3 linked regions of the Schizosaccharomyces pombe genome follow. The gene in region 2 interacts genetically with the main gene of each other region. Each region holds a gene or a part of one and is shown on either strand. Other genes may lie near its edges.

The links.
Region 1: mutations in fan1 (region 2) and pso2 impair growth when combined (synthetic growth defect), as found in Schizosaccharomyces pombe (2 studies listed by BioGRID).
Region 3: mutations in fan1 (region 2) and rad13 impair growth when combined (synthetic growth defect), as found in Schizosaccharomyces pombe (one study listed by BioGRID).

The regions. Positions count from the first base shown.
Region 1 is NC_003424.3:1,155,987-1,161,306, forward strand, and holds pso2 (DNA 5' exonuclease), read right to left. Parts: upstream 3,497-5,320; 5' UTR 2,807-3,496; coding exon 1,124-2,806; 3' UTR 501-1,123; downstream 1-500. Other genes in the region: protein mug103, read right to left, coding at 3,640-4,014; COP9/signalosome complex subunit Csn4, read right to left, coding at 4,233-5,320. UniProt on the Schizosaccharomyces pombe protein: Required for DNA interstrand cross-link repair. This requires cleavage of cross-linked DNA to generate DNA double strand breaks (DSBs).
Region 2 is NC_003423.3:1,006,577-1,017,812, forward strand, and holds fan1 (fanconi-associated nuclease 1), read right to left. Parts: upstream 6,530-11,236; 5' UTR 6,137-6,529; coding exon 4,025-6,136; 3' UTR 3,772-4,024; downstream 1-3,771. Other genes in the region: erv2 (sulfhydryl oxidase), read left to right, coding at 1,442-2,020; protein Cwf25, read right to left, coding at 2,223-3,318, 3,381-3,415; prp2 (U2 small nuclear RNA auxiliary factor small subunit, U2AF-59), read left to right, coding at 6,979-8,532; tif1102 (translation initiation factor eIF1A-like), read right to left, coding at 8,756-8,840, 8,893-9,191; lsd1 (histone demethylase SWIRM1), read right to left, coding at 9,424-11,236.
Region 3 is NC_003423.3:2,668,871-2,681,179, reverse strand, and holds rad13 (DNA repair nuclease Rad13), read left to right. Parts: upstream 1-4,610; 5' UTR 4,611-4,822; coding exon 4,823-8,161; 3' UTR 8,162-8,190; downstream 8,191-12,309. Other genes in the region: SPOM_SPBC3E7.11C (DNAJ domain-containing protein type Caj1/Djp1), read left to right, coding at 1-747; methionine aminopeptidase Fma1, read right to left, coding at 1,007-1,962, 2,023-2,068, 2,118-2,138, 2,191-2,307; SPOM_SPBC3E7.09 (Sad1-UNC-like protein), read right to left, coding at 2,584-4,563; SPOM_SPBC3E7.07C (uncharacterized protein), read left to right, coding at 8,436-8,483, 8,529-8,540, 8,602-8,629, 8,673-8,727, 8,783-9,006, 9,145-9,221; vacuolar amino acid transmembrane transporter Fnx2, read left to right, coding at 11,240-12,309. UniProt on the Schizosaccharomyces pombe protein: Single-stranded DNA endonuclease involved in excision repair of DNA damaged with UV light, bulky adducts, or cross-linking agents. Essential for the incision step of excision-repair.

The sequences.
Region 1 (5,320 bases), on a different chromosome or scaffold from region 2:
TTTTAACTATTTTTTTTCGATATTTTGTTTTGTTTGAAACGAACAACATCAAGACTCATCGCATAATTCATATATACTCTGGACTGATAGGCATTCATGCTTTCCATCTTTGAGTTATATTGGATATCAAATTTCTATACTGCTATTATCAAAGTTATGTTGCTATTTATTTTGGATCCTAGTTTATTTTATGCCACCTTTTGGAGTGGGAGAATTTTATGACTTGCTAAATCTGTTAATTACGGGTATTAATTACCTATAGATTCATTGGGAAGAAATTATTTATTGATAATTTCATATCTTTATCTGTATTCAACTACAATAACTTTGTTTTAGTCAGTCTTTTGTTGACTAGGCTTCCATAAATCCCAACAATATTTCATATTTCAATCATTTTTTACTGTCTTTTTGTTATTACTTTTTATAATTTTGTTATATATTTTTTTATTTTATTTTATTTTTCTTCTCTCTTAACACCCTTTGCTGGACTGTTGGAATTTTTTTTTGGTTATTTATGAGTAGCTTGATTTTTTTTCCATTAAATTATTTTCGTTGTTTCTCTGTAGTGGAAATTTGAATCTTGAGCTCCTTCGCCTATGATGTTTCAACTCTCGGGGCAATGTTTTATGAGAATTTTTTATACTAAGGTTCATCGTTCATCAATGGCGAATGCTATTACAAAAAAATTAGAAAAAAAATTGATGATGTGTTTTATAATGAAAGGTGTTTATTTGATGACAATTCGTTGTAGATTGCTCTATTATTATAATTAAAAAAAATAGAAAATTAGCCTAAATGAACTAATGTTAAGTATTCGATCATAAAAAAACGAAGCTCAAAGAAAGTTTAAAAGTTTTGGATTATTTGCAAGCTCATAGTTTGATTTAAATGAATATACACCTACACTTTGGTGTCATTTTTTTGTATAATCTTGTATTAGCACTCCTGAAACTAAAAAAAAAAATAAAATATAGAAGGATAAAGGATTGGCATAGTAAAGCATACATACAAAAACATTTTGCTCACATTAACATTAATTATAAGAACCATAAATAATAGCTACAGACAAGCTCGTATAACCCTAAAAGAAACAGAAAGGAAAATTATTGTGGTAGATTTTGGTTTACCAATCCACATTTTCCAATGAAAGTAGGCCTTGTTTCTTTCGGCGCCAAGCCCAACGATCTAGCCATACATTCATCTTTTCACGAGACCGTTGACTACCCACATTTACAGTTGGGATAATATGTCCAATGTTCATCGACAGACAAAACATAGTTAAATCATAAAAGCTCGAGTGTTCACTGTAAGGGGCTACAAAAGCTGCCACTTTGTCGGTGCTTCCTCTAATCGCTCTTAAATCGTATTCCACAAATTTCGGTGGTCTGGAAATTATCGAGTCTAAGCTACTGCTAAGTTGTGCACGATTTTCCAAGGGTTGAAATGTCCAGCCAGTAACTTTGTACCCTATGATCTTATCAAAGGAACTATTGTATTGTTCCAAATAGTCAAGAAGCGAATTCGGATGTATTCCCATCATAGTGACCATATGTACGGAAGCTTGCGTAGGATCATCCGTTAATAAATCTATTAAATCTTGATTTTCAAGTTGTTTAATAATATGCATTTTTCGAGGAACCACATAAATCCGTGAAGAAAGAGATTTTGCAATAGCAACGGCTACTTTTTCTTTCCCGATGCTATAAGTGCTAACTACTACCAAAAGCCTAGAATCTGTTGACTTCTTGATAGATATTGCTTTGTCGGCGCAAGCTTGAACAACATCCGCTTGGGGTGGAAAAGTATATTTAGGATTCAAGTATGTAGTGTCCAAATAAACTTTATGAATGGTCTTCTCTCGTAAAACAGGATGCATAACGTGATCCTTAGAAGCGCGGAAATCTCCACAGTGAAGAACACGTCTTGTTTGATTACTCTGAAGCGTTTCAAAAACAAACATAGCTGATCCTGGACAATGATTAGCATCCAAAACATATACAGTAATACCCATTATATTATATGGTTGATTTAGTTTGAGACGCTTCACATATTGTTCATCAACATGCATGACATTTATTAAAAGATTTCCTGTTACTTCTGAACAGTAAATAGGACCGTGCTTCCATTTTGGAGTTAAACCGCCATAGTGATCAGAATGAAAGTGTGACAAAAAATAAGCTTCAACACCATCAATGGCACCGTAAGCAAATGCGTCAACGGCAAAAGGAATATTATAAGGCATTAATTTATAGAAAGGAACAACAGACCGAACATTAATTTGCTTTCCAGGTAAAGGTAATAACGCCTGTTTACAGGAATCAGATATTGGGAATGTACTCGAATTCGAAGGATCGGCTTTAACGACAGAGTCTTTCTTCAGCTTTTTTGAAACAGCTTCCGTTGTTCTCCCGTCTAGGCAGTCATTGACATGTATATTGGCATCGACAGTTAAAGACTCCAAAGTTATTCCACATATTGGACAAAGAAGCAATTCAGACATGGTTGACTCCTCGTTTTTAACCAGCTCATTTTTTAAAGGTTCTAAGATGTTAGCATCCCCAAAAGATTGCCATTGAGGAGACTCACCCACTTCAGAAGTGAAACTTGGATCATTGAATTGTAATAAGACTTCCTGTGAGAATTTCTCATTTTTTATTTGGGAACTTGAAATTGCATTTTTTACTGTAGAGGGCTTGGTGGTGGAATCAGTTTTTTCAACAGAAACAGCTTCATTACCCCACATGTTTTTGCCATTATTAGATTTTTTAAAAAAATCTAAAATAGACGATGACTTTCGTTTACTCATTTCAGTGAACGTAAACAAAGGCAAAATTATTAGTTTTTTGTTTTTTGGTGTATAAGCAACAACAGTAAGTGATTGAATTCTTTTAAAGGAAGTTATTTCAAAAGTTGTAAAGTTTCGTTTAGCTTAATAATGAAAGCTATTATTCGAGGAAAGACACGATAAATCCGCAAGAATCGCTTAAAAGAAGTCTTGAAGTTAAGGAAACGGCGAGTAGACGTCAAGAGCGACTTTTTCTAATGTACAATGTGTATGAGAAGTCGTAGAATATTAGGTATGCCTTTGAAAGATCAAAACGAAAAAACAAAGGAAACAGATTTAGAAACTTTACCTCTAACTATAAATTTCAAAGTATTAAAAAGTGTTATGGATGAATTATTATGTGACGCTGGATGATCCAAAATTGGTCGGTCAGGATCTGGTCTAAAATGTAAAAAAAAGAAGTATACCTAAGGAAGGGTAATAACTGAAAATTGAAGTAATGAAAAAAAAAGAAAAAAACACCTTAAAAAAAAAGCATCGATTATTCACGAAAATGCGTTTTATTTACAAAAAACTTCGATTTGGAGAAGCTAGTGAGAAATATACTTTCACTGCAGCTTAGCGTTCCTTAATGATTTTAATTTTTTTTCCTTTTACTTTCTTAATGGCCTACAATGGCAATAAGGCCTGTTACTGAAAAGCCTTGCAATTGCACAGTTCAAGGCAAAACACTTAAAAAAAACCCTCTTGGCAAGCATAAAGTAGTCTTCGCTCAAGCTCCTTAAAACAAATCATCAACATGCGAAGGAGTTTTAAGACAAACAGTTAGAAACAGGTGGTAATAATTATAAAAATCAACTTCTACGGTAAAAACGATTTCCTTTTTCCTTTAATAAAAGTTTTCGCGATTTGACGTGTCGTTCCTTTAACATATCTCGGTCATCACTTAAAGGCATGTCCTCACTGTTGATACAATAAGGTCTGTCAGCTAGAAAAGGATTTCGCTTTCTTTTTCTAATTGTATTGTTCCTTTGCAAAGGTGGAAGACATTTGTGGATTACAAAACTGTTAGAAGAAGTATTTTTACTTAGACCAGCGACAAAAGAATATGGAGGTGGAGCTTTATAAATTGATGTAAACCCGTCAATTTCGCATTCTTCTAGTCGAAGATTTTTATTAAAGTAGTAAGGATCAGCATCCGATTCTCTGATTATCTCAAATTGCTCCATTACCAATTGGTACTGCGAATTGGAGTTACAAGCACATGTAAATAATATAAGAACAGGCAGAGAGGGAAGTTACTTATAATGTAAACAAACATTAGCGACCACGAGGTGAAAAAGATACAAATAAGAACGTCAATATTTCTATGACATTATACAATAAATATTATTTTAAATGAATAAAATAGATGAACTATAAAACAGTTTTTTTTTTCACATTTGGTCTAAGAACCGTAATGTTGAAGAACGGTTGCAATTTTATTAACATAATTAGGAAGATTGTTTGCTTTTCCATACTCTGGCAAAAAAGTAATGTATCCTTCACATTGATCGATTGAAGCATTCAATCGTTCTTGTATCACCATATCAGCAACAACTGTATCAACCTGTTCCTCAGAAAGTTTAAAGTGTTTTGCAAGTATAGATGTAGAAGAAACTTCAAAAAACTCTGAAAGAAAAAGGATATTCGTTTCCAAAAAATGTCGACCATCCTCTATCAATCTATTCATATGAATTACTTGGTGAGGAAGTAGAAAAGGCAACAGAAAGGCTCCGTCCTCTTTTCCGATAAACTTTCTTTTAAGGTACTTTTCGACTAGAGAATAAAACGGGATTTCTCGGACGGATGGTTGGAGAGAGATTTCTTGGAGGAACTGCAAAACAATAGGAGAAGGAATCGCTAGAAGTAAACATTGAGCTACTGAACACAAGTTCTCTCTATAAATTAGTTCATTTCCAGGTACTTTATATTGAAGTACCCGATAGTAACATTTCGCAGCTTCTAGGAATTGTCCTGTTTCATCGAGAGCGCGAGCATTGCAAAGTTGAAGTTCCATTAGCAATTGATCATTACTAACTTTAAATGCCAATGGTATACTTGTCCTTACGGTTAAAATTGCTTTTTCAGCTTTTCCTAACTTTAAATAAGCATCTCCTAAACGAATTCTTAATAACAAGAGTTGCTCTAGGTCGTTTTCAAAATGACCATGTTTTTCGACAGCTTCCAATGAAGAACATAAAAGCTCAAAATTTTGCTCAGCTTCATAAATAGTGGCTAATTGTAAACAACAGGAAACCAAATATTCTGAAGGTGCCTCCTCTAACGACTGTACTGGAACATATAATTCAGATATTAACTCTTTCCGTAACTCAAGAGACGAAATGCTAACTGCAACATCAAGTAAAGAAAACAAAACGTCGTTCCGTTTTGCAAAGTTGTTGCTGCCGCAACAAATATTTAAACATCTCTTCGCTTGCTCAAATAGCTCTTTTTCATTTGTATAATGCAAAGCTAATGCTTCTCGAAACTGTG
Region 2 (11,236 bases):
GTCAATTAATGAATAAAATATACAAAAACCCACAGTTAAATTACACTAAAGCCCATGTTTATAAACTAAAGACTGAAGTATAATTGTGTAAACAGGTCATGTTAGATGAAAATGATCTATTTATTTTATACCTACACACCTGATTTAAAGGAAGACTTCAAACATCTTTTTACCTGTAATTATAAACTCATGTGTCTATTATACATTAAATTATTATGCTAGTCAATTTGGTATTCTTGGACGTTGAAAGTTAACTCAAAACGAAAATTAAGTAAAAGAGAATATTGCTCTGACACTTTACACTAGCAAAATATTAAAAGGACGAGCAGAATACATTGCTGTTTCTAAGTTTTTACTAGCACAAGCAAACATCCTCTTTCAATTCACACAATAAATATAAAGCTCAAAGATTTTTTGTTCTGTATTCCTTCATTAAATCTAGCAAGACGACGCAAAAATTTACCTTGTTTGGGTAGCCCTATGTGTGAAATAACCACGAATAAAGAATAATCAGTAAGTAATATAAATAGATTAGCTCTTTAAATGAAATGTTAATGCAAGGAAACGATTTGTCCAAGTTTTTTAGAACAACTTTTCAAATTCACTATTGTTTTGTATTTTTTTAGCTTTAAACTTGACAAGCCTTTTGCCATATGTTAATTTAACCCAAAATTCTTACATTTTGATTTAAACTAATCAAACGCAAATTCATATCTTCAAGCAATTGCAAGTAATTTATCTTTAAAACATTTAAATCTGTAAACATAGATTATTATATGCTATCTATGCTCACTTGATAACTTAGCTAAACTCTTCCTTCTTTATTTATTTATTTATTTTTTAAACAAAAACTAACAAGTCCTCTTAGTTTTTATTTATTTACGTTAAGTTTCTTTTTTTTAGTAAATAATTCCAAACTTAAAAAAAATTTTATAGTGATAAAACCTAGCAATGGACTTTATAATAATGATACTTTAGTTAATTTTTTTGTTGTTATTTGGTTATATCTCTATCACTAAACTACATATTTATTAACTATTAACTATACTTATAATTAAAACTCTTCTGAGTCTTAAAATAAAAAGCATATAGAATTGATATAAAAGATATTTAATATCTAAAAAAAAAATTAAAGGGTTGGCAATACATTTATCTAAATCAATTTGGTAATGCATTGGATCATCCAGCAGCCTGTTCCATCTTACTACTTTAAAAGTTTTTCTGTTAATTAGCATTAGATATAACGATGCACTCGCTCTGTATAACCCAGGAGGTTAGTTTTGTTTACCATCAATTCCTTCTCGTTATTGCAACATAGCGATGCCGCATATCAGATCAAAAAAGCCGCGTGAGTTTCTGTCCTTGCAGTTCTCCTTTACAATTAATTTGGTAGATGAAGGTGTTCTTACGGGGAAAACGAAGTAGCTAAATACTATAAAACATGATCCTTAATAGAAGAATTCAGGTGATTCTCCCTACCCTACTAATCTTATCGTTTATTATATGGATCTTTCACAGTGTTATGGTAGACAAAGATTGGCGTCTGTTTATGCCTGAAATTAAATCGCTTCCGGATCGAGAAGGTCAAGGTAGAAAACCAATTGAGATGATGTCCACGAAGCACGATAATAACACGAATAATTTAATGGTAAATGCATACTGGAAGTTAATTCATACGGTTGTTTCCAATTATCCAAACAGACCAACATTAGATGAGCGAGATATCTTAAGACATTATCTATTTTCTTCCGCTATTACAATGCCATGTGGTGAATACTCTGTGGAACTCCAAAAGATACTAGATGTACATCCTCCACAAACAAGTTCTCGAAAAGCAGCAACTACGTGGGCTTGCAAAGTACACAATCAATTAAATGAGAAAATGAATCAACCAAAGACATCATGCGATGGATTTAATGAGAGATATGTAATCGGATCGCCGACCTATCGCGAAAGCGAAGCTGAAAATGTTCCTGAACGGGTACAAGTAATTAACGAAGATCACGACTATTCTGGTTGATAACAATGGTTAATTTTAAGAATTCATGTATTATTAAAAAATATTACCGTCTATCATGCAATGCATTTGGATGTTAAGCTATTTATTTAATGAACCCTAAACTGATATGTTCAACTGTTTACCACCGTCATTTCCACTCATTATTCAGAAATGTTATATCGTTATGCATCAAAGTTATATTAGAAAAAACATAGAAATCACGTTACGGCCTTAACATGTTATGTCGGCTACTATTCACACGATCTGCCAAGCTTACAGAATCACCAGAGTAGATCTCTTTTCTCATATTTCTGATAAAATCTCCTTGGTTATCCCATTTTCTTGCGGTATCGCGTCTCTCTTTTTCCAAAAACTGTTCTTCATCTCTTTCTTTCTTTTCCAATAGTTCAATTTTTTTTCTTCGTGACTCATCTAATTCCTTAGCATTGTCTTGCATTTTCTGTAAACGGCTTTCTATATCGGTATGCCTTTGAGTGATAGGTTGCGAGTCTCGAGAATGAAATTGGTGATTTCGAGTCCTGAAATCCGGAGATGGTGAACGAGAATATTGTCTGCTTGTTCGCACATATTTTTTTAGGTCTCTTTCATCTTGAAAATGACCCTGATCAAAGCGCATATCATCATCGTAATGTTTCTTGAAATAACCAGAGTCATATTTATCTCGATGCCGATAGCGATCATTGTGTGTGCGTTCTCTCCAATTATTTCGGTCATTACGGTAGCTTCTTCTTGAATGCTCCCTTTTGTCAGAAGAATGTTGTTCATTATCTGACCTTTCCCTGCTTCTGTCTTGATTGCTTCGATGATGACGATCGCGGTGCCGCCGTTCTTTCGACTTTCTATCAGAGTCTAAAGAGTATTTCCTTTTTTCCATAAGCGTTTGTAGTTGTTTTTGTTCTTGTTGCTTGATTGCAAGTAAAGGATCTAGTCGCAACTTTGCCTGTGTGTCTTGTAGGGAGTTCGCGTTTTGAAGAGCGATAAACTCTGTTTTTTCTAATGAATTATTTTGATCCTCTATCTTGTCCTTTAAAAGATCATCTAGACGTCGCCTTCCAAGCAAATATTCTTCCATTTCTGAAGAGTCACGATTGGGTCCATTCGTGTTAGGAACTGCATACATCCACTCAACTCTGTCTTTTCTTTTTTTTCCACCAGCAGCTTCTTGTAGCCGATGTAATTCCAATAGTTGACGTTCTTCTTCAATTTCTCGCCTAAGTTGCTCGACTCGCTTCATCTCTTCTTTGTGAGCTTGCTCATCTTTCCAAACTTTTTCCTGGTTCCTCATTAGCAGAGGATGCCTAATCATAATATTAGTAAAACATCTTTAAACAATTATATTAATGCAAATAAATCCACTTACCAGCTTTTCTTCATATTTAGATCTCCACCACCCATTTTGAATTACTAATAAGAGTTGTTTAAATTTCAAAATAAAATTGAGAGGAAAATCCACTAATTGTTTTATTTTTAGGATTAAAAACCACAATTCTCAAAAAGTGGCTATTAATACAAAAAATTGAGTCTCGCTTTACCTGTGACTCATAGTGTTTTGCAAACATATACACTAAATTACTTGGGTAACATGTTACCCAAGAATAGAAAGTCAAGCTTGCGAATTCTGAGACCAATCAATAATAATCACGTTCAGATTTCTTAGTATTTTAGCTATAACTAAGTCATTGATAAACGTAAGTTCTATTTCACTTTAAACTGATTAAAAAGCAATGTATCATTAAAAATCCTACTTGATTATGAATGTGATTTTAAACAAATTGGTATACAGCATGAAAACATGGGTTGAAACTTAATTATATACTGGAATAGAATATGTGAATTCAGTCCAATAAGTTGCATATTATATACTTAATCCATTCAAAATCAATCAACATTTCTAAAATGAGAAATGACTAAGTTATTCTCCTTGGCAAAACGATGGTAATTCAGCAAGCAAAGTGTAATTTACATAAGCTATGCATTTAATGAAAAGATTAACAATCACGTTTTTTATTTTTTTTTGTGCATGGAGACATGACAAACTTCAACATCAACTTCACTGGATATTAGTAATGATATCCAGAATTTTTGCGCTTCTGAGAGCCTATCATTATCGCTTTTAACTTCTGAAAACATAAATTTTTTTTTAGACGGATTCCACAAACATAAATCAGGTATCCCGCTAGAACTATTTTTATAATCTTGGGTCAAAGCAAGAAATATTTGGGCGAGTCCATTATCGTTGATACAATCGACAATTTCAAGAAGCATTTCGCAAGTATACGACCAATTAAGACCTACACAAAATGTTTTTCTTTGGTGCTCTCTGATATAATTATCTTTTATAATTAGGCCAGCTTTCCCATTTCTTATTTCCTCAAGTCTTTTCATGATTGTCGATTCTCTAGATATATAAAAGGAATCAGTGTGCAAATCCAAAGGTGCACTTTGAAACGGAGATTGAAAAACACCAGGAACGTCCTCAAACAAAATATCCCAGAATGTCAAAGCAAACAAAGTTAGCAAAATGCTGCTTTCAGCATGTATACCTTCCCACCCAATCGATTGATAATGTTGAAGAGCAAGCTCTTCAACTGTGATAGCATTATTAGTCTTGCTACGCCAAACAGTCCGGTTTGAAAGGTCACCGTTATGTATTCGTTCACCATGAAGAAAAAGTCTTGAAGGATTATTATTTATAAGTTTCATGCTTTTTAATTCGGTAGTATTAGAGACTTTTAAACACTTCCGTAAGCGAACAAGTCTCCTTTGTAAGCTAAAGTAATATCTGAGGTGGGTATACTTGTCTTCAATACCATTTTCACAAGTTGATAAAGCAAGCGTTTTCCAATAACGCAAAACGTTAGTATCCTCAGTTTTAAAGTTGTATTCCAGTAAGGCTTTTCTATTATACCAATGTCCTCTTTTACCCACCAAATATATATTTTGAGATAAAAGGGTATCTAATATTTCATGTTCAACCTCAACTAATCGCGACTTCGCGAGAATATTTAGACTTTTATGTATTAAGTATGTGTAAACAGCACCAGGACGAAAGCTAAAAGAAAACCTTACCAATCGAGTATCTACTTTTCTATTTTCTTCCACCCAAAATTCCCTAATGTCTTCATTTAGATATGTCGACCATATAGGATATATTTCAAAAAAACTGTTCAACGCTTGTTCGAGTGCTTCCTTATCCGAAGCGGCAGTGTTTTCAAAGATTGGAACCAAGTTTTTTGAAAGTTCTAAAACCTCAACGTATTCAAGGCATTGAGCACGACAATTAAAGACGTTTGAAGTTCGCGATAAAACGTAATTCGGGTAGGAAAATTTGTTAAGGCGTGCTAATATTAAAGACGTAAGCGATTGTTCATCATAAATGGACGAACGAAAGTACACAATATTAATTCGATGAAATAGGTCTACTAAAATTTTCTTTGGTTTCACACAGGATTTGCATTGATATAATAGTTGCTTCCGAAGAAACGACTCTTGCTTATGCATCACACCAAAAGCATCAAAGGACAAAAATTGTTGACCATTACAATGTAGTACTGATTGTCTTTTAGATAGGAAAATGATTTCTTTTGAAATTTCAGACCTGCTTTTTCCACACACCTTCGTTTGTCTAGCTAACGAACGCAATTCATCGAGAGATAGAATTTCAATTATTTCTTCAGTTGACATGAGTGATTCATCTTCAAAAAAATTTTTCAGAACAAGCTGCTTACAGCAGGCAATAACATCCTTGCAATCTGGATAAGTCAAATGGCCCACGCGGAACCATTTATTTCTTTTACGCATGAATAGACGAACAAACAAGTACCGTTCATCCGAGTCTAAAGCTTTAAAGTTTTCAATAACCCTCAACTCATCATCAGTAAAGATATGCGGTTCACAATCGAGGACGGTGTTTAGGATTTCTTCGAACCCCAGCAGATACATTGAATTTTTAGTAGAATATACATTGTGCTTATTAGTATTGGCAACTTGTCCTTTAACTGTTGTCTCTGGTGCTTGACATACAACTTTTAAGGGAGGGAAACATAACTTGTTCTCGTTTACCCCAGATTTATCTGGAGTGTTTATGTCGCACGCTTCATTAAAGAATCGTTTCATGAATTTTTAGATATCACAGCAGCGCGACTGAATAAGTGCACAAGATGATGGCCGTAAGTAAACAAATATTTAAAAAAAAGAGCGGCTTTTACAACAATGGAAAGCTAGTATGAAAATAAATAATAATAAATTTTGAATGAATGTAAACGTCTTCTTGTGTAATAAAGTAAATTTTTAAAAGATTGAACATACAATTTAAGAGCATGGATTTCAAGGATAAAATGAGACAAACATTAAATCTATCGTGGATGTACTGGCAAAAAAAAAACGAAAATTATTGAATTTCATGGCAGCTGTAAATTTTTAAAGATTGCTTTAAAAGAAAGCCATACAATCAAATACTATGGTCAAAAGAGAAAAATTCGTTAAAACTTAGGAGAATGGTACTAGGGTAAGGACAACAGTTTAAATAAATGCTTTTGAAAATTTAACTGCATTCGTAAGTTACAGTGTTGTCTATAATGCAAGTTTAGCGAAAGTTGCTATTTGAAACTAAAAAGAAAATGTAAGTCAACAACGTTGTGCTTAAAATTACGACGCTGGCGAAGTTACTACAAACTCTCACTACCTTAACTTAGTAAGTCGAAACTTTTGACTAACCTTGGGCGTATCACATAAAGAAAAAATAAGTTAATTATTATTGTTCATGTTATAAATTTTTTTTAGCAAGGAATCCAAGAGCATTGACGCGCATATCATTTCATTAGAATTTGTACTTTTGTATTCCCTACTTTCATCAAAGTTTTTTCCGGAGAATTTAAGAGTTCATTTTAATAAACGAATTTCTTCCCTCCCTTCTTTTTTGAATAATTTTTTAAATAGCCTCATATTCATTCACTAACATGGATTTGTCTTCCAGATTATCATCAGGTTCTTCACGGATACCCAAGCGACACAGAGATTATCGCGATGAAGAACCTAGACGAGAAAGAGGTTCGGGTGGGATAGGAAGGGAAGACCCGAGAGGCCATTATGGCTCTGAACGACCTAGAAGACGTCGCCGAGACGAAAGTGATTTTCGTAGACATAGAGAATCTCGTGAAAGAAGTTATCGAGAGGATGAGAGGCCAAGAAGAGAAAGAAGATATGATGATTATGAGCCTCGATCATTACGTTATTCATCTGTCGGAAGAAGTAGAAGTCCACCTCCCAGCCGAGAAAGAAGCGTAAGGTCTATCGAACAGGAACTCGAACAATTGAGAGATGTAACACCAATAAATCAGTGGAAAAGGAAGCGCTCTTTATGGGACATTAAACCACCTGGTTATGAATTGGTTACTGCTGACCAGGCGAAAATGTCTGGTGTTTTTCCTTTGCCAGGCGCTCCTAGAGCTGCAGTTACTGATCCAGAGAAATTGCTAGAATTTGCTCGCTCTGCGGAAGGAAGTATTATTGCTCCCCCTCCGCCCTTACAACCAGGTGCTAGCAGACAGGCTCGTCGACTAGTGGTTACTGGAATTCCTAACGAATTCGTTGAAGATGCTTTTGTATCATTTATCGAAGATCTATTTATTTCAACTACATACCATAAACCCGAGACAAAGCATTTCTCCTCTGTCAACGTCTGTAAAGAAGAAAACTTTGCTATTCTTGAGGTCGCTACTCCTGAAGATGCCACCTTCCTCTGGGGGCTTCAGTCCGAATCATATTCTAATGATGTCTTTTTAAAATTTCAAAGAATTCAAAATTACATCGTCCCTCAAATTACCCCCGAAGTTTCTCAAAAAAGAAGTGATGATTATGCCAAGAACGACGTTTTAGATTCAAAAGACAAAATTTACATTTCAAATTTACCTTTAAATTTAGGCGAAGATCAAGTGGTGGAGCTACTTAAGCCTTTCGGTGATTTATTAAGCTTTCAATTGATAAAAAATATTGCAGATGGATCTTCGAAGGGTTTTTGTTTTTGCGAATTTAAAAATCCTTCTGATGCGGAAGTAGCTATCAGCGGTCTTGATGGTAAAGATACGTATGGGAACAAGTTACACGCACAATTTGCTTGTGTAGGTCTCAATCAAGCTATGATAGATAAGTCTAATGGAATGGCCATTTTGACAGAACTTGCTAAGGCGTCATCACAATCTATTCCAACTAGAGTCTTACAATTACATAATTTAATTACTGGGGACGAAATTATGGATGTACAAGAATATGAAGACATATATGAGTCTGTAAAGACCCAATTTTCGAATTATGGACCACTTATAGATATAAAAATTCCTCGTAGTATTGGCACTAGAAACTCGGGATTAGGAACTGGAAAGGTTTTTGTACGATACTCCGATATCAGATCTGCAGAGGTCGCAATGGAAGAGATGAAAGGTTGTAAATTTAATGATCGCACGATTGTCATTGCTTTTTATGGTGAGGATTGCTATAAAGCTAATGCATGGTGATTTCAGTTTCAATGAAAAGGTTAGTATAATATCTTAATGTTAGGGTAATAATATCAGTATTTCTCATTGGATTGTTTAAAGTGTAACAAAGTACTCAATTGTAATGAGCGATTGTGGGATGAAGTAATTCTTGCAAGCATTTCCCGTTATACGCTTTTTATCATCGGTTTAATTTACAAGGTTCGTTGTAAGGATTCTTAATATATGTATTTTTTGTAAATTGTTAGTCACTATCGTATTCTTCCTCGCTACTGCTGCTTTCCTCAGAATCGTTTTGATTTAACGATTCATCTGCAAACTCTTTAGGCCTTTAAACTAGTTAGCACAATCATCTAATGTTATTTCAAGAGAATTTCTTACCAATAAATTTGTTTTTTCCAATTTTTTAAAGGGCTTTGTACCACGTACAATATAGTACCGTCAATTTTATTGTCCTTCTCTAAAAACTCAGATTTATCAACTATTACAAACCCATTTCTCCTAACCCATATTTTATTACGATACTTTGGAGGCATCTCAACAAGTAATTCCTGTCCATTGTTTTCTACTACCATAAAAAGCGCAGATCCTTTAAGTTGCACAACTTTGGCGACGACTTGATCTTTTTCCAACCTAGCTGGTGGATCAAACGAAATTTGACCGCCATATTTTTTTGACATATTAGTATTTCTCTAAAGAGCTCGTATATATGTGATAACCAAGCAAATCGTAGAGAATTGGGTTTATGGTGGTTAGGAAGCTTCGACAAGTGGATTTACAAGATGATATGCATTTCATAAATGTCATTCCTTTCTATGAAAAAATAAAATTTAGTATACCATTATAACTTAAACGTAAAAATTGATCTTTATCTCATATAAACTACCCTTAAAAAAAAACTTTAAATGAAGCTCATGAGAAATTGTCAGGGAATACTTCACTTATTGAATCCTCATAATCTAAATCATCATGATAATCATCATCACTATTTTCAACGGACATGCCCTCTTTTTCAGGATGTAGATGTTCGTCCTCTTGTTCAGCAAGTAATTTTAACTTAGCCTCATCTTCAGGAATTGGTTGAGATTCACATCTTCGCTGATGTTCGGATTTAATTTGGGCAACTCTCACATTGTAGGAATTAATTTGACGTTGATACTCTTCCAGGCGAGTTGAATAATTTGCTCGTCTCGCGTTAATTTCATCAACCCATGGTTGTTTACCTAAACTATCCAAGGCTCGCCATGTCTTTCCCAATTTTGCACGTATCTCATTTTTTGTGGCACGTGCTTCAGGATCGCCAGTAACTCTTTGTTTATCCTGATCTGCTAGAGTTTTACAAACGTGCCATTGAGTTTTTTGGTACAAAAGGTAAGGATTAGCACTAGGCCTTGATGGTGGAACAGGAGACGGTCCCAATAATTCGGCAATTAGTAAATCACATTCTTGCTGTTCTTTATCAAGTCTTTTTTGTCTCAAGCGTAAATACTCGGTATGGTATGAAATGCGCTTTTCCTTATTTTCTCTTTCTCCCTCTTTGCCTAAAGCTTGTTGAGCATTTCGCTTCGTGCCGTACGTTTTACGGGGTTGTTCCAAGTTTTCCTCAATAACGAGAGTGTTAGGTAAAACAACATTGCCTATTAACGAAGCCAAAACATCTCTAGCAGCCAGTATGCCCGAATCAAATGCGCCGCGTATCGAACCTGAATTTTTTTGGGAAATTGCTTCACTAGCAAAAAACACAGTATTGTCAATGGGCTCAGACAATATTGCATAATCCTCTTCCAAAAACAAATTGGATATTTGATATGATGAGTGATTTGTATAAGAATTATTCTCCCAGTTACTGATAATCGTTCGAATAGGATTTATGGCTTCTGATTTCGGTTTATAAACTTTTTTAAGTTGAGATACAATCCCATTCACTATATCATCATCCTTCATAAAGTCGATCCCTTCAACCTTCACAAAGACTGATAATGTGGGATGTTCGTAAAATCGAGTGCAATCGTTAAATATAAAGTTTCTACCTGAATCTTGTGGTAGTGAACCAAATATACTTATGTTTGGTTCCCAGAATTGGGTTTTAAAAATGAGGATAACCTTTTTCACATTGGTAAAATGACATCTATCAATAGCCTTTAGCTTCTTTTCTTCGAGAGGCGGCTCGAAGGTAATCAAATGGGTATTCAGCTTGTCCATAGGTATACATATAACCACTTTATCGACTGAAACTGTTGTTTCATTTACAAATGATAAGTTAACCGTATTATCTTCTAGCTTTACAGTATGGACACACTGGTCAAAAAGAATTGGAAGTGGAGAAGGTGTTGAAGCAAGGGAGTTTAGCATATCCGCCATTCCATGTTTGAAGGAATATGAAGCGACATTTTCACCTAATAATAAATTCAGGTTTGGAATGCTTCCCGGATAAACATTTTCAAGAGAAACAGAGAGTGATTGTGAAAGGTATTCCTTAAACCATTCAAAAATTTTTAAATCTAAAACAGTAAGATGCAATAAAGAAGTGAGGGTGTTAGCCGAATTACCAAGAAATTCAGACAAAGTGTCCTTTATTTGTAAAGGAAAGGCTTCAATTGAAATATACCAACCAATTTGGTCAAGCTTTTGAATGAATTCTTGCTCAGGAGGAGTAATCAACGAATGAAGGGGCTGTTTACTAGCTGAAGCATTGAAATAAAAAAGTAAAGCATCAAATAAACGA
Region 3 (12,309 bases), 1.7 Mb from region 2:
TTGAATTTGTTAAAGGAATTGTGTAAGATGATTAATGAAGAACCTGAATTAAAAGCTATCGAGGATACTGAGGAGTCTAAAAAGCAACTTCAGCGAGAAGAATCGAAAGAAGCCGACCGTCTATTGCAAGAAAGAATAGACGTATTATGTAAAAATCTTTTGGATAAACTTTCTATATGGACTGAAACCGATATGTCTGATAGAGTGACTGATGCTTTCAAACAGAAAATGCAATTTGAAGCAGAATTACTAAAAGATGAGTCATTTGGGAATGAAATGCTTCATGCGATTGGTTCCACATATGTGCAACGTGCGAACATACTTATCCAATCCCAATCTTTTTTGGGTATCAGAGGTGTATGGGGAAGTCTTTGTGCAAAAGGAACTTTATTGAAAGACACTTGGAATACGGTTGTTAGTGCTGTAGATGTTCAGTCCTCTGCAGCTGCGTTAGCAAAAGCAGAAGAAGGTGAAGAGCAATGGTCCAAAGAAAAAAGAGATGAAGCTGCCCGTGAACTAACTGGTAAAGTTTTATCTGCAACATGGAAAGGAACGCGTTTTGAAGTTCAAAGTGTGATAAGAACTGTGAGCGACAAGATTCTTTATGATAAAGCTGTTCCTCTTGAGAAAAGGATAAATCGCGCTAATGCCTTGCTTATGATAGGTCAGGTATTTCTGAAAGTCGCGCCAAACGAAAAGAGTGACGCTAATTATTTTGAAGACTTAATGAACGACAGAGGTAAATAGTCATTATTGGATTTACGTAATAAAGGTTAGTGATTGTTGGAAATTGGTTCATAGTCGACTACGAAGGCTTTTGATTTGGGTATGCACCTCACATTTTTCAGCAAGTATGTAATATAGTCAATGTGTTTGTACAAGTGTCATTATTCTGGTTAAAGGAAGGAAATCTCATATATAATTCTTTCAGCCTTTTACTTATAAATTTCATATACAAAGAAAAATTTTCTGCTTTTATTTTAATTCATGTTGGGTATATCAAAATTTATTTTAAGGGCCCTCCAGGTGAATTGGGGAGTCTGGCTGTTAAAACTTCACAACCAGTCTCTGTAACTAACAGTGTATGTTCGAATTGAGCAGAACAGCGTCCAGATGCAGTTGAACTAGTCCAATCATCCGGCCAGGTAATGTCTCGGGCGGGACCTAGAGTAAGCATAGGTTCGATTGTAAAAGTCATTCCTGGGCGAGCAATTCCAGGTGCCTTGTTGTGGGAATAATGAGGAATACTAGGAGAACAGTGAAATAACTGGTTGATTCCATGTCCACAATATGTGCGGACGACAGAAATCTGCTTCTCAGTAATGCTATTTGTATGCTTTTCAATAATATTTCCGAATTCCTGAAACAATACTCCCGGTTTTACCGCAGCAATTGCTTTATCCAAAGCAATTCTCGTATTTTCTACAAGGCAAACGAGGTCAGGATTTGCTTTTGCTTTATCTCCAACATAGTAAGTCTCATTTAGGTCACCATGAAAACCGTTATGGTAAAGGGAAACATCAATGTTTACAATATCACCATCCTCAAGTGGCCTTTGATCTGGAATTCCGTGACAGATGATTTCGTTCACAGAAGTACAAACACTTTTTGGGAACGCGTAATAGTTAAGGGTGCTTGGAAAACAATCACGTTCAATGCATGCATTATGAACAATACTATCAAGTTCATCGGTAGTTGTTCCAGGACGGACGGCAGCAGCGGCAGCATCAAGTACCTCTCTACCAAGTCTACATACTTTACGCATACCTTCCTGCTCCTTGGGTGTCAATCTCTTCAGTTTGAAGCTTCGACCTTCAATTTGCTCGCTACGAGAGACTCCTGTCTTCGCATAGTCAGGTCTTTTTATATGTGGAGGAACCTTGCGTATAGGCGAAAGCGGATAAACTGGTTTCAATGAACCTGCGAAATGAAATTTTGGGAAAGGATTGTAAGTTCCATCCTCTGATGAACAAATTAGAAAAACGCTTGAAAATAAAAGCTATATACTTTTGTTGTACGTACCTCTCTTTTCTACATTCGGTGGACGATGAAGATGTTTGTGAATATTCTGGATTACCTAGTGTTAATTTACGTTACACGAAATTTTCTTGTATTACCCAGCTGTTCCTGAAGCATTCCTTTTTTTTTTTGAATTAGTAAATACGTAAACTAACAGAAAAACTAAATTACCTGTCCACAAAAGTAAGATTTAACTCCGTCATTTAGACATTTGGGACATTGCAGTCTGTCAGCTTCATTATTACAATCTATACCGCAACAAATATGTTTTGCAATTTCAGTAGCCATATAAATACTTTGTCTTAAGGGTATCACTCGCCTTAGTTTCTAGACTCGAGAATTTCTAGTCACACTAGTGCTTCGTAGCCGTGAAGTACATTAATGTCGTTGGAACCTATATAACCCAATGCCACTCTTTAAAGTTATGATTTTTGCAAAACTAAAAAAATAACTTTAATATATGCTTTTCAGTTTTTAAATAAATAATTCATTTTTCTAATTTTAATATGAATTTAAATCATTAACTTATGAAAAAATATGGAAGTTTCACAATACATTCTATGATTAGCATACTGAATGGCTCCTAGAATGTATAATTTTATCTTGTTCTCTTTCGTGTATACTGCGTATGCTGGTATTTGGATCTCGCTTTTTTCTTTGCAGTAGTTCAGGTCCAACGGTATAAACCGCTGAGGAAGCGCTAACGCGAAAATCGTTGGCCTTCGAAATATCTTGCTCGTCACGTGAAAAAGGTGGTCTTGAAGCCTCAATAGGGTTGTTTGAAGATGAACGGGTTGTTGGCAGATTTTCTGGAAGCCTCGATACGGCCATATACACTGTTAAAACGATTAGAACCGTGAGTTGAAGCATTAAAAGTCGCTTTTGAAAAGATGATTCTTGATATAGTGAAGTAATTTGACTCTGAAAGTATTCATTTTCTGCAGAAAGAAGCTCAAGTTTAGCTTGGAGAGCAAACAAAGACGGCTTAACGACACTTTTCGACAATTTCGAAATTTCTAATTGAAGGGTCGAGTTCAATTCATGTAATAGCTGCGTAAAATTCATGTTTTTGGCATTGTGCTTACCATAATTTGTTAATATTTTTTCTACAATTTCATCAAATGCCTTCTTCCGTTCTTCTAAGGTAGAAAGACGCTTATTTATGTTTTTGTAAATGCTTTCCTGATTAGAAGGAAAGGTAGATATTTGAGCGGTACTGTAAGAAGATGAAGAAGATGGAGAAATATCGTTAAAAGAGCGAGTTGATGTTGCAGGATATGATTCACTTTTTCCTGTTTCATTTCCTATAACAACAGTGCTCAAAGACTTAGATATCACAGTAGAAGAAAGTAAGGTGTCTGTACTATTCAACTCGACTGATGGATTCTTTCTCACTGGTTTGCTTTGAACATCGGTATCTTCTTCGTCCACAAAAATAGGACTTTCTTGAGGCTTCCGGATTTCATCTGCTTTAATAGCGCTTCCGTCGTTCACTTTTTGTTCTAAGAAGTCTTCATTTGCTTCTTCAAATTCTTCTATCATAGTTTTTCCATAAACCCTAAGTAGGCTTACAGGACAATAAAATTCTGACCCATAATGAGTTAAAAACTCTATTTTAAGATACTTCGCCCAAATAAGAGGGTTCTCAATATGAAAAGATTGAAGAGTCCTTAGGTTTAAGGCCGTAAATGTACCCAATTCCATCCAAGAAGACTCGTATTTTGGATATTTACCGCTTACACTGACCTTGAAATCACGAAATATACTTGAAAAAAATTCGAAGTTGGCAATTTGAACTGTATCGACATAAATATCCTCACAAAGTTCAATTACCACGAACTTGTTTTCAGCGGAACATTTGTTCAGCATATATTTGTCTTTGTTTTCGGTCAGAATCGAAGAAGATCCGACTGCTTCAGGATTTGTTTTAATGACAGCAGCAGCGCAGTCAGTTGAAGCAAAGTTGAATCTTTTTTCTTCTGAGAATGCAACAGTCTTTTCATCTATATTTGAATCAATTGTAGCTGCTGCTGAAGTAGAGGAACCATCCTCAGAAATTGGTAGAGTAACCGAAGAACTAGTAATAATATTAGTATCAATAACTTCCGTTACAGAATAGTTTTGCTCTAGCTTCTTTGAGGATGAAATTGTAGACGTCTCGTTCACCAATGGTGGGCTAATTGAATCTATAAATTCGCTAGTACTTGTTCCATTGGAATATTCATATTTTGACAAAAAATTAGAAGAAATGGTATCACTTCCATTCAAACTCGTTTTTGTGTGAAACGAAGGTTCCTGGTACTTATTTGTGGGAGTGAAATCCCATGTTGTAGGGTTGCTAGCTTCTTTTTCTTCAGATTTGGTAGCAATCACAGAAAGGTACGCATCACATACCAAATTTTCGTTATGCGTATCTGGTGACTTCAAACACAATGCCGGATATTTACACCAATGACTCGTTTGTGGAGAGCAGCAGCATAACCGAAATATAATAAAATAAATTAAAAAGGCATTTCCAAATGCAGACAATCTTCTTTTGACCATATGATTTAGGCAGCCCTATCAGTTTAATGTGGTAATTGGCTCAAGTCAAGTGCCACACACTAAAGTGTTAGCATCAATCATCGCACATGCCCTTGTTTTATCGCTTTGTTGGTAAAACATGTCTTTTATAACGATTTTAATTAAAAAAGAAGAAAAAGGGTAAAGAAAAAGGCTTGCTTTAATCACATTTCTTCGTATAATAATCAAAAATAAAGTCGTCTACAACGAAACTTCTTGACATCGCATATAATATTTTGCAATGGGGGTTTCAGGTCTTTGGGATATTTTAGAACCGGTAAAAAGGCCTGTCAAGCTAGAAACACTTGTTAACAAACGGTTGGCAATTGACGCTTCAATTTGGATTTATCAATTCTTAAAGGCCGTACGTGACAAAGAAGGAAACCAGCTGAAAAGCAGTCATGTTGTAGGATTTTTTAGAAGGATATGCAAACTATTATTTTTTGGGATTAAACCTGTATTTGTTTTTGATGGAGGAGCGCCGTCATTGAAACGCCAAACTATCCAAAAAAGACAAGCCAGAAGACTCGACAGGGAGGAAAATGCCACGGTCACGGCCAATAAACTTCTGGCTTTGCAAATGAGGCATCAGGCAATGCTTTTAGAGGAAAATAATAAAAAAGCTACTGCATTGGCAAATGCCTCGGTTCAAAATGAGAGACAAATGCCTTCATCTATGACATTGGATAATTCAGAAATTAAGCCAGTACTTAATCAAAGAAAAAATTATTTGAAGCCTGATCCATACCAACTACCTGAAATGGACGTTTCGTTTGATAAGTTAGGGTCGAGTTACGACCCTCGAATTATGTCCCAGGATGAGCTTACACAATATGTCTCTAGTTTTACTAAAATTGAAGATATAAATTTATTTGATTTTTCAAATATTGATTTTGACTCTGAATTATTTCAATCATTACCCGATACGGATAAATATAGTATTTTAAGTGCAGCAAGATTACGCTCTCGTTTACGAATGGGTTTAAGCTCTGAACAACTTTCCGAGATGTTTCCTAATAGAATGGATTTCTCTCGTTTTCAAATTGAGAGACTGAAGGAACGTAACGATTTAACTCAGAGATTAATGGACTTTACTGGAATGAATGAGTTTGGACCCTCTAGAGTAGTAAGTGAAAAAAACCGAGAATATATTTTAGTAAAAAACGAAGGTGCTGAAGGTGGATGGGCTCTCGGTGTTATCTCAGGATCTACAAACAATGAACCTATTATTATTGATGATGAGGCTACAAAACTTAGCAGCAATCTTATAGACGAAGACGAGGATGAGGCATTCTACGATGTGCCTTTACCTAGCCGATCTCATAGCATGAACCCTAGAGAATTGGTAGCCGCTAAATTAAAGGAAATAAAAGAAAATTCATTTTCGGAAAATCAGCAATCAGATGAAGCAGATTATAATGTTACTGATGATTTAATACTTCAATTAGCAACCCAGCAATCTCTAGAGGAAAACAAAAAATCAAAAGAGCTGTTTAGTCTTTCGGCTTCTGAGTTTGATAAGTTGAATAGCGAGAAAAAGACGTTTGAAATTTTGTCGACCGATATTCCTGCAGAGGATTCAATGAATTCACTTCTTAACGACGAGGAAAATTTGAAACTTGAACATGTTGGAGATGTTTCCAATGATTCATTAGCATTCGCGGAAAAAAAGCATCCTGAAAATGGGACTTCAATTTTTATGGATGCCCTTCCATCTGCGAGTAGAGAGAAAAAAACCAATGATTTAATTGATCCTTTACCTTTTCAGCCTATGGATTGGGGAAAGTCTATTTTTTTCGAGAAATTAAAGAAACCAACTGAAACATTTATGGATTCTAAAACTGATATACCAAGTGAGGCACCGGATAATTCTAAACTTGTGGAAGATACAAATTTACATACTATTAATGCAACAGTTAATATTGAATCCGATTTAGACGCTGCTAAACCTGGAATTGAAAATCCAATTATTTCACCTCTTCTTCCGGTAAAAGATGATGAAAAAGATTTAGACTTACGTGAACTCAATCCTTTGGAACCCTTTGAGAATATGAAAGAACAAGCTGATGATGGCACAGTTACCAACCCATTAAATGTTTCTAGTGATAAGGCCATGTCAGTGTATTTATTGAGCTCCGAAAATGCTAAGGATACTGGGGATATCAAATCCGAATCAATTGACGCTGTTCTTCCTACTTTAGAGACCAGCAGCCCTTCACTTAGCATTCCAACTGACTTTCAAAAAGAAGCCTCTCCAAATAAAGGAGCTGCTGCCTTGAGTTCGAAAGTAGAGCCTGAAGTGGTTGAAAAACTTTTAGATGAGGAAGAAGAGGAAATGATTATCAGGATGGCAGAAGAAGAAAAGGAATATGATCGGTTTGTTTCAGAACTCAATCAACGACATGAAACTGAAGAGTGGAATCAAGAGGCCTTTGAAAAAAGGTTGAAAGAGCTCAAAAATCAAAAAAGGTCTGAAAAACGTGATGCGGATGAGGTCACTCAAGTAATGATTAAAGAATGTCAAGAACTTCTGCGTTTATTTGGCTTACCATATATCGTTGCTCCTCAAGAAGCAGAAGCCCAGTGTTCTAAACTTTTGGAGCTAAAGCTGGTTGATGGGATTGTTACTGATGACTCAGACGTGTTTCTTTTTGGTGGAACTCGGGTATATCGAAATATGTTTAATCAGAACAAATTTGTCGAACTCTATTTAATGGATGATATGAAAAGAGAATTTAATGTGAATCAAATGGATTTAATTAAGTTGGCACATCTTTTGGGAAGTGATTATACTATGGGACTTTCTAGGGTAGGTCCAGTTCTTGCACTGGAGATTTTACATGAATTTCCTGGTGACACTGGACTTTTTGAATTTAAAAAATGGTTTCAACGTTTATCAACTGGACACGCATCAAAAAATGATGTTAATACGCCAGTAAAAAAGAGAATTAACAAGTTGGTTGGAAAAATTATTTTACCATCAGAATTTCCTAATCCGTTAGTTGATGAAGCTTATCTTCATCCGGCCGTGGATGATAGCAAGCAATCGTTTCAATGGGGCATACCCGACCTTGACGAGTTACGCCAGTTTTTGATGGCTACTGTGGGTTGGTCAAAACAACGAACTAATGAAGTTTTACTTCCGGTTATACAAGACATGCATAAAAAGCAATTCGTGGGTACACAGTCCAATTTGACTCAGTTTTTTGAAGGTGGTAATACTAATGTATATGCGCCGAGAGTTGCATACCATTTTAAGAGTAAACGGCTTGAAAATGCTCTTTCATCTTTTAAAAATCAGATTAGCAATCAAAGCCCAATGAGTGAAGAAATTCAGGCAGACGCAGATGCATTTGGTGAATCTAAAGGATCAGATGAACTACAAAGCCGTATTCTTAGAAGGAAGAAAATGATGGCAAGCAAAAATTCCTCTGATTCAGATTCAGACTCTGAAGATAACTTTTTAGCAAGTTTAACTCCGAAGACGAATTCTTCTTCAATTTCTATTGAGAATCTACCTAGAAAAACCAAGCTTAGTACTAGCTTACTAAAAAAACCCAGCAAAAGAAGAAGAAAATAAGTTTAATAAATTATTTATTTATTTGTTTACTTAACTGGTTGTTCCTATAAAAGAAGTTACTGTAATTTTTTGTTGAGTAAATTTTTTTGAGTTTTCCTGCTGTAACTGTGTTTAGACAAAGTAATTGAGCAACATAGCTTATATTTTGTGATTTATTCGTGTTTTGATTATTTACAATTTTTCTTGCTCTTTGTTACCTTACCTAATGTCACTTTCTACTACAACCTACTTAGCAGCAGTAAAGTAAAAACGGAGAAACAGAATATTTTTCGAAATGTTAAGTACAAAAATTGATGCGGAAAATGCGGAAAATGCCGCCGAGGTAAGCCTTGGTTATTATTTATTTAATAATACTTACAGATTTTAGATTGAAATGCAGGTACGTGGTTGTAGAAAGTATTTAGTTTTGGTAAAGCATGTACTGATTTAAAAAATTTTAGTTTGCAGTAAAAGCTGTTGAACAGGCTCGTAAGTTGAGCAAAATATGATGGAATAAAAAATAACAATTTAGAAATATACTGGAGTCTTTTGGAAATGCGCAAGGGAAGCGAGTTAAAGCTGACAAAGTAAGTATATATTTACATCTTTAATTTAAAGTTCAAATTGCTTACTATTGAATAGATACGATGATGAGATTTTTGAAGATTTAATAAACACCTTCCCCGAGTTTAAAGACCCTAAAACAGCTTCTTTTGTTAATGAGGATGAAATGAAGTCCGCCAAAGGAAAAGCTGCCTGGCGTCCATTTTTAATGCGCTATGAAAAGAAGGTTGACGATTACAATTTTGGTACTCTTCTTCGTATTAAGAATACTGATGAGTATGAGCAAGAAACGACTATTTTTGGTATGTACTAGGAATCAAATTTAATGGTCTAAGAAACATGGCCATTTTTTAAGTGCCATTTTTTTAAAAAAAATCGTTTATGCGATCCATGAATTTCCATATTTTAATGTTCTATTTTATTTAGCTAACAAGTCTTAGTCCCTCGTATGCAATTTTTGGCCTACGAAATCGCCCGTAATAGATACGGTTTGAACGATTGGATTAAAAAAGATTAGACCTTGTTAATAAATATTACAACTCATCCAAATTTTTCTGAAGGAAGTATTTGTACAAATGATTGCTCCGTAGTTAGATAACATATACATTGGTTTTTCCTAATGTACAATTACAATTCAGAATAAAATCAAAACAAGTGGATGAAGGTCATATTTCCTTCTCTTATAAACGTATATCAAACAAAATTCATAGTGCTTGAGTAAGAAAATGTTATTTTTTCTAAAGTTACTAATTGAGAATTGTGACAAGTAAACAACAAAACCAAAGAGACCAGATTTCCTATGCTAATCAGAGTGATGTTTACAATTAAATCCGTCCTGATTATTCGACGTTTTTTTTTTTTCTAACAAAGTGACTCACAACTTGTTTAGATTTCTAGATATTGTGTAAGGAAATAATTTTTGCTAAAAGTAAACACTTTAAAGAAATGATACTAATAATATGAAGGACTGCAAACTTTATATTTGAGTATAATAATTCTTATAATTATATGAGAACAAAGTGCATAGATTTACTTCAGTGCAAACACAGATATAAAATTGTGTCGAGCTTTATGTTTCTAACTTCTAATAGCGAATCTTTAACCCATTGAGCATTTCAATTATGTAGCACTATTTCATACGTAAGGGCTGCATACTTATTAACTATTTTTTTTCAGAAATCTCAACTTGAATTTTACTAATTCATGTATTTACAGTTAGCAAGATGCTTCTTTTTTTTCGTAATCATTTGAGATGTAAGACGCCGGTTAAGAATTTGTGGGATAAACAAAAGAAATTACGAGGACCACTTACTTAGTCTATAAGTTGATTTTGCCGACCATAGTAAAGGTAACTGCATAAAATTATTGGTATTTAATTCTACCTTACAGAATCTCGAGAATTACTATATACTTAAAAAGAATTTCATGTACTTTTTCTGCAAAATAATTACAAAATATTGATGAATTTATTACTGGTCAATAAACCACGAATCAGTATACCCACTAAAAGCAAAATTTCGGTTCGCTTGTAAAAATAACAAAAAAAAAATATTATTATTAATAATAACAATGAGTTTCGAAAGTTCAGAATTCATTTGAACGAAACAATTGCGTATTTAAATTTCACAATTAAGCAAAATACTTGAAGTTATCAACAAAGGGTCCATTCTGCGTTTCAGGTGCATTTCATATTCTTTGACTTTTTATGAAGCAAATGCGAAGTTACACAGAAGCAACTATTTTTCAAGCAAGTTTGTTTGAGCTCACACCTAATTTGAATATATAGATTAGATATAATTTGTTCATCTTGTAATTTTACTTATAGATCAGAATGCTTTGTTAAGAATATAATCATCTATTTGATTACAGATCCATTCAATGAGCAAATTAACTAAACATATGTATTTCAAAATTCAAACCCATATAAGTTAATAGTTTCAGTTAGTAAACCAAGTGATTTTATGCGACTGAAAAGGATTTCCGATAAATAAAAATTGGTAAACGCATTCATTTATTTCACCAATCTCGGCATCCTTTGCAAGTTAAGATATGCATTACAAATTTTTGATGTTTTTATTTTACAGTAGTTGGTTATCTATGAGACGTACACATCTCAAAGAATGACAATCACTTGCATATTTTTTTACTTGGAGGAGCTACATATTAAAATTTTCGAAGAGCCAATTTTTTTATATTTGACCGAGCCTTCAATGGCGCTAATAACCGACTTGAAAACGCAAGTTGGTATAATACTATAGATTTATGACGAGACTTCGGGAGCGTATCCGAGCACACTGTCCCGTATCTAACCGGACTTTGTTTACCGAAATGATAAGATAATAGATGTTAGCGAGAAGTATACAAATTTAAGTAAGGGAGGCAGTCATAACATTTACTAACAAATGCACTACCACTGAAGTTCTTTCATTTTGTACGATTTAGGATTCGCATATATTCATAAATTTCAGATTTTGTCGTCTCGAAACACTCCTTACTTATTCATGTGCATTCATCCAATTGTAGCTAATTAATCGAATGTCGAACCCAAGAACCAAATCTCCTAATACAAACAGAGGTCAAGGATTACGTTCAGAGCGCTCAGCTCTCTTGAATGACTCTCTGTCTTCATTAAATGGAAACTCATCATATGACTCTATCAAAGATTCTTCCAAAAACAACAAGGATGTTGCTGAAGTGAACGAGTACCCTCGTAGGCCAGAATCTTCAGTGTCTGTAGTTAGCAATTCGCCTCATCGCCAGGATGCAGCGACGACTAATACTGTGTCTACAGTTTCTGTTTCCAAAGTTCTTCCGGCGTTATTGTTGGGTGTTGTTTTGGCTGCTTTAGACAATACCATTGTCGCCTCTACGTATACGAAAATTGGTGCCGAATTTGGAAAGTTTAGTCAAGTTTCATGGACCGCTACAGCATACATGATATCTTGCACTGCGTTCCAACCATTGTTCGGAAAATTTTGCGATATCTATGGGAGGAAAAAGACTCTTCTGGCGGCTTACTGTGTATTTGGAATAGGCTGCTTCCTTTGTGGTACTTCTCGCTCTTTATGGCAGCTAGTAGCAGCTCGAGCTATTGCTGGAATTGGTGGAGGAGGCATGAATTCGACTGTAAGCATTTTAATGAGCGATATCGTGCCTTTAAAACAAAGAGGAACTTACCAAGGAATTATAAATGTATTTTTTGCTATCGGTTCAAGCCTTGGCGGACCAGTGGGTGGTTACTTTGCCGATCAATATACTTGGAGAATTGGTTTTTTAATTCAGGTTCCCTTAATTGCTATCGCCTTTTTGTGTGTTTACTTTACTCTTAATCTTCCCCATCACAACCACGTAAGTTTCATGACCAGATTTCGGAAAATTGATTTGAAAGGTCTGATCTTGCTAATTATTGGTGTCACAACGATGACTTGTGCTTTTACCTTAGGTGGAAATGTTAGAGAATGGAATGATCCTGTTGTTATTTCTTTGCTGATCGCTTCTTCTATTTCATATCTTTCATTTGTTTACGTAGAAGCGTTTGTGGCTTTTGAGCCGCTGGCGCCAATGGATGTTCTTACTGAGAGAACCTGCCTTTCATCATATCTTTG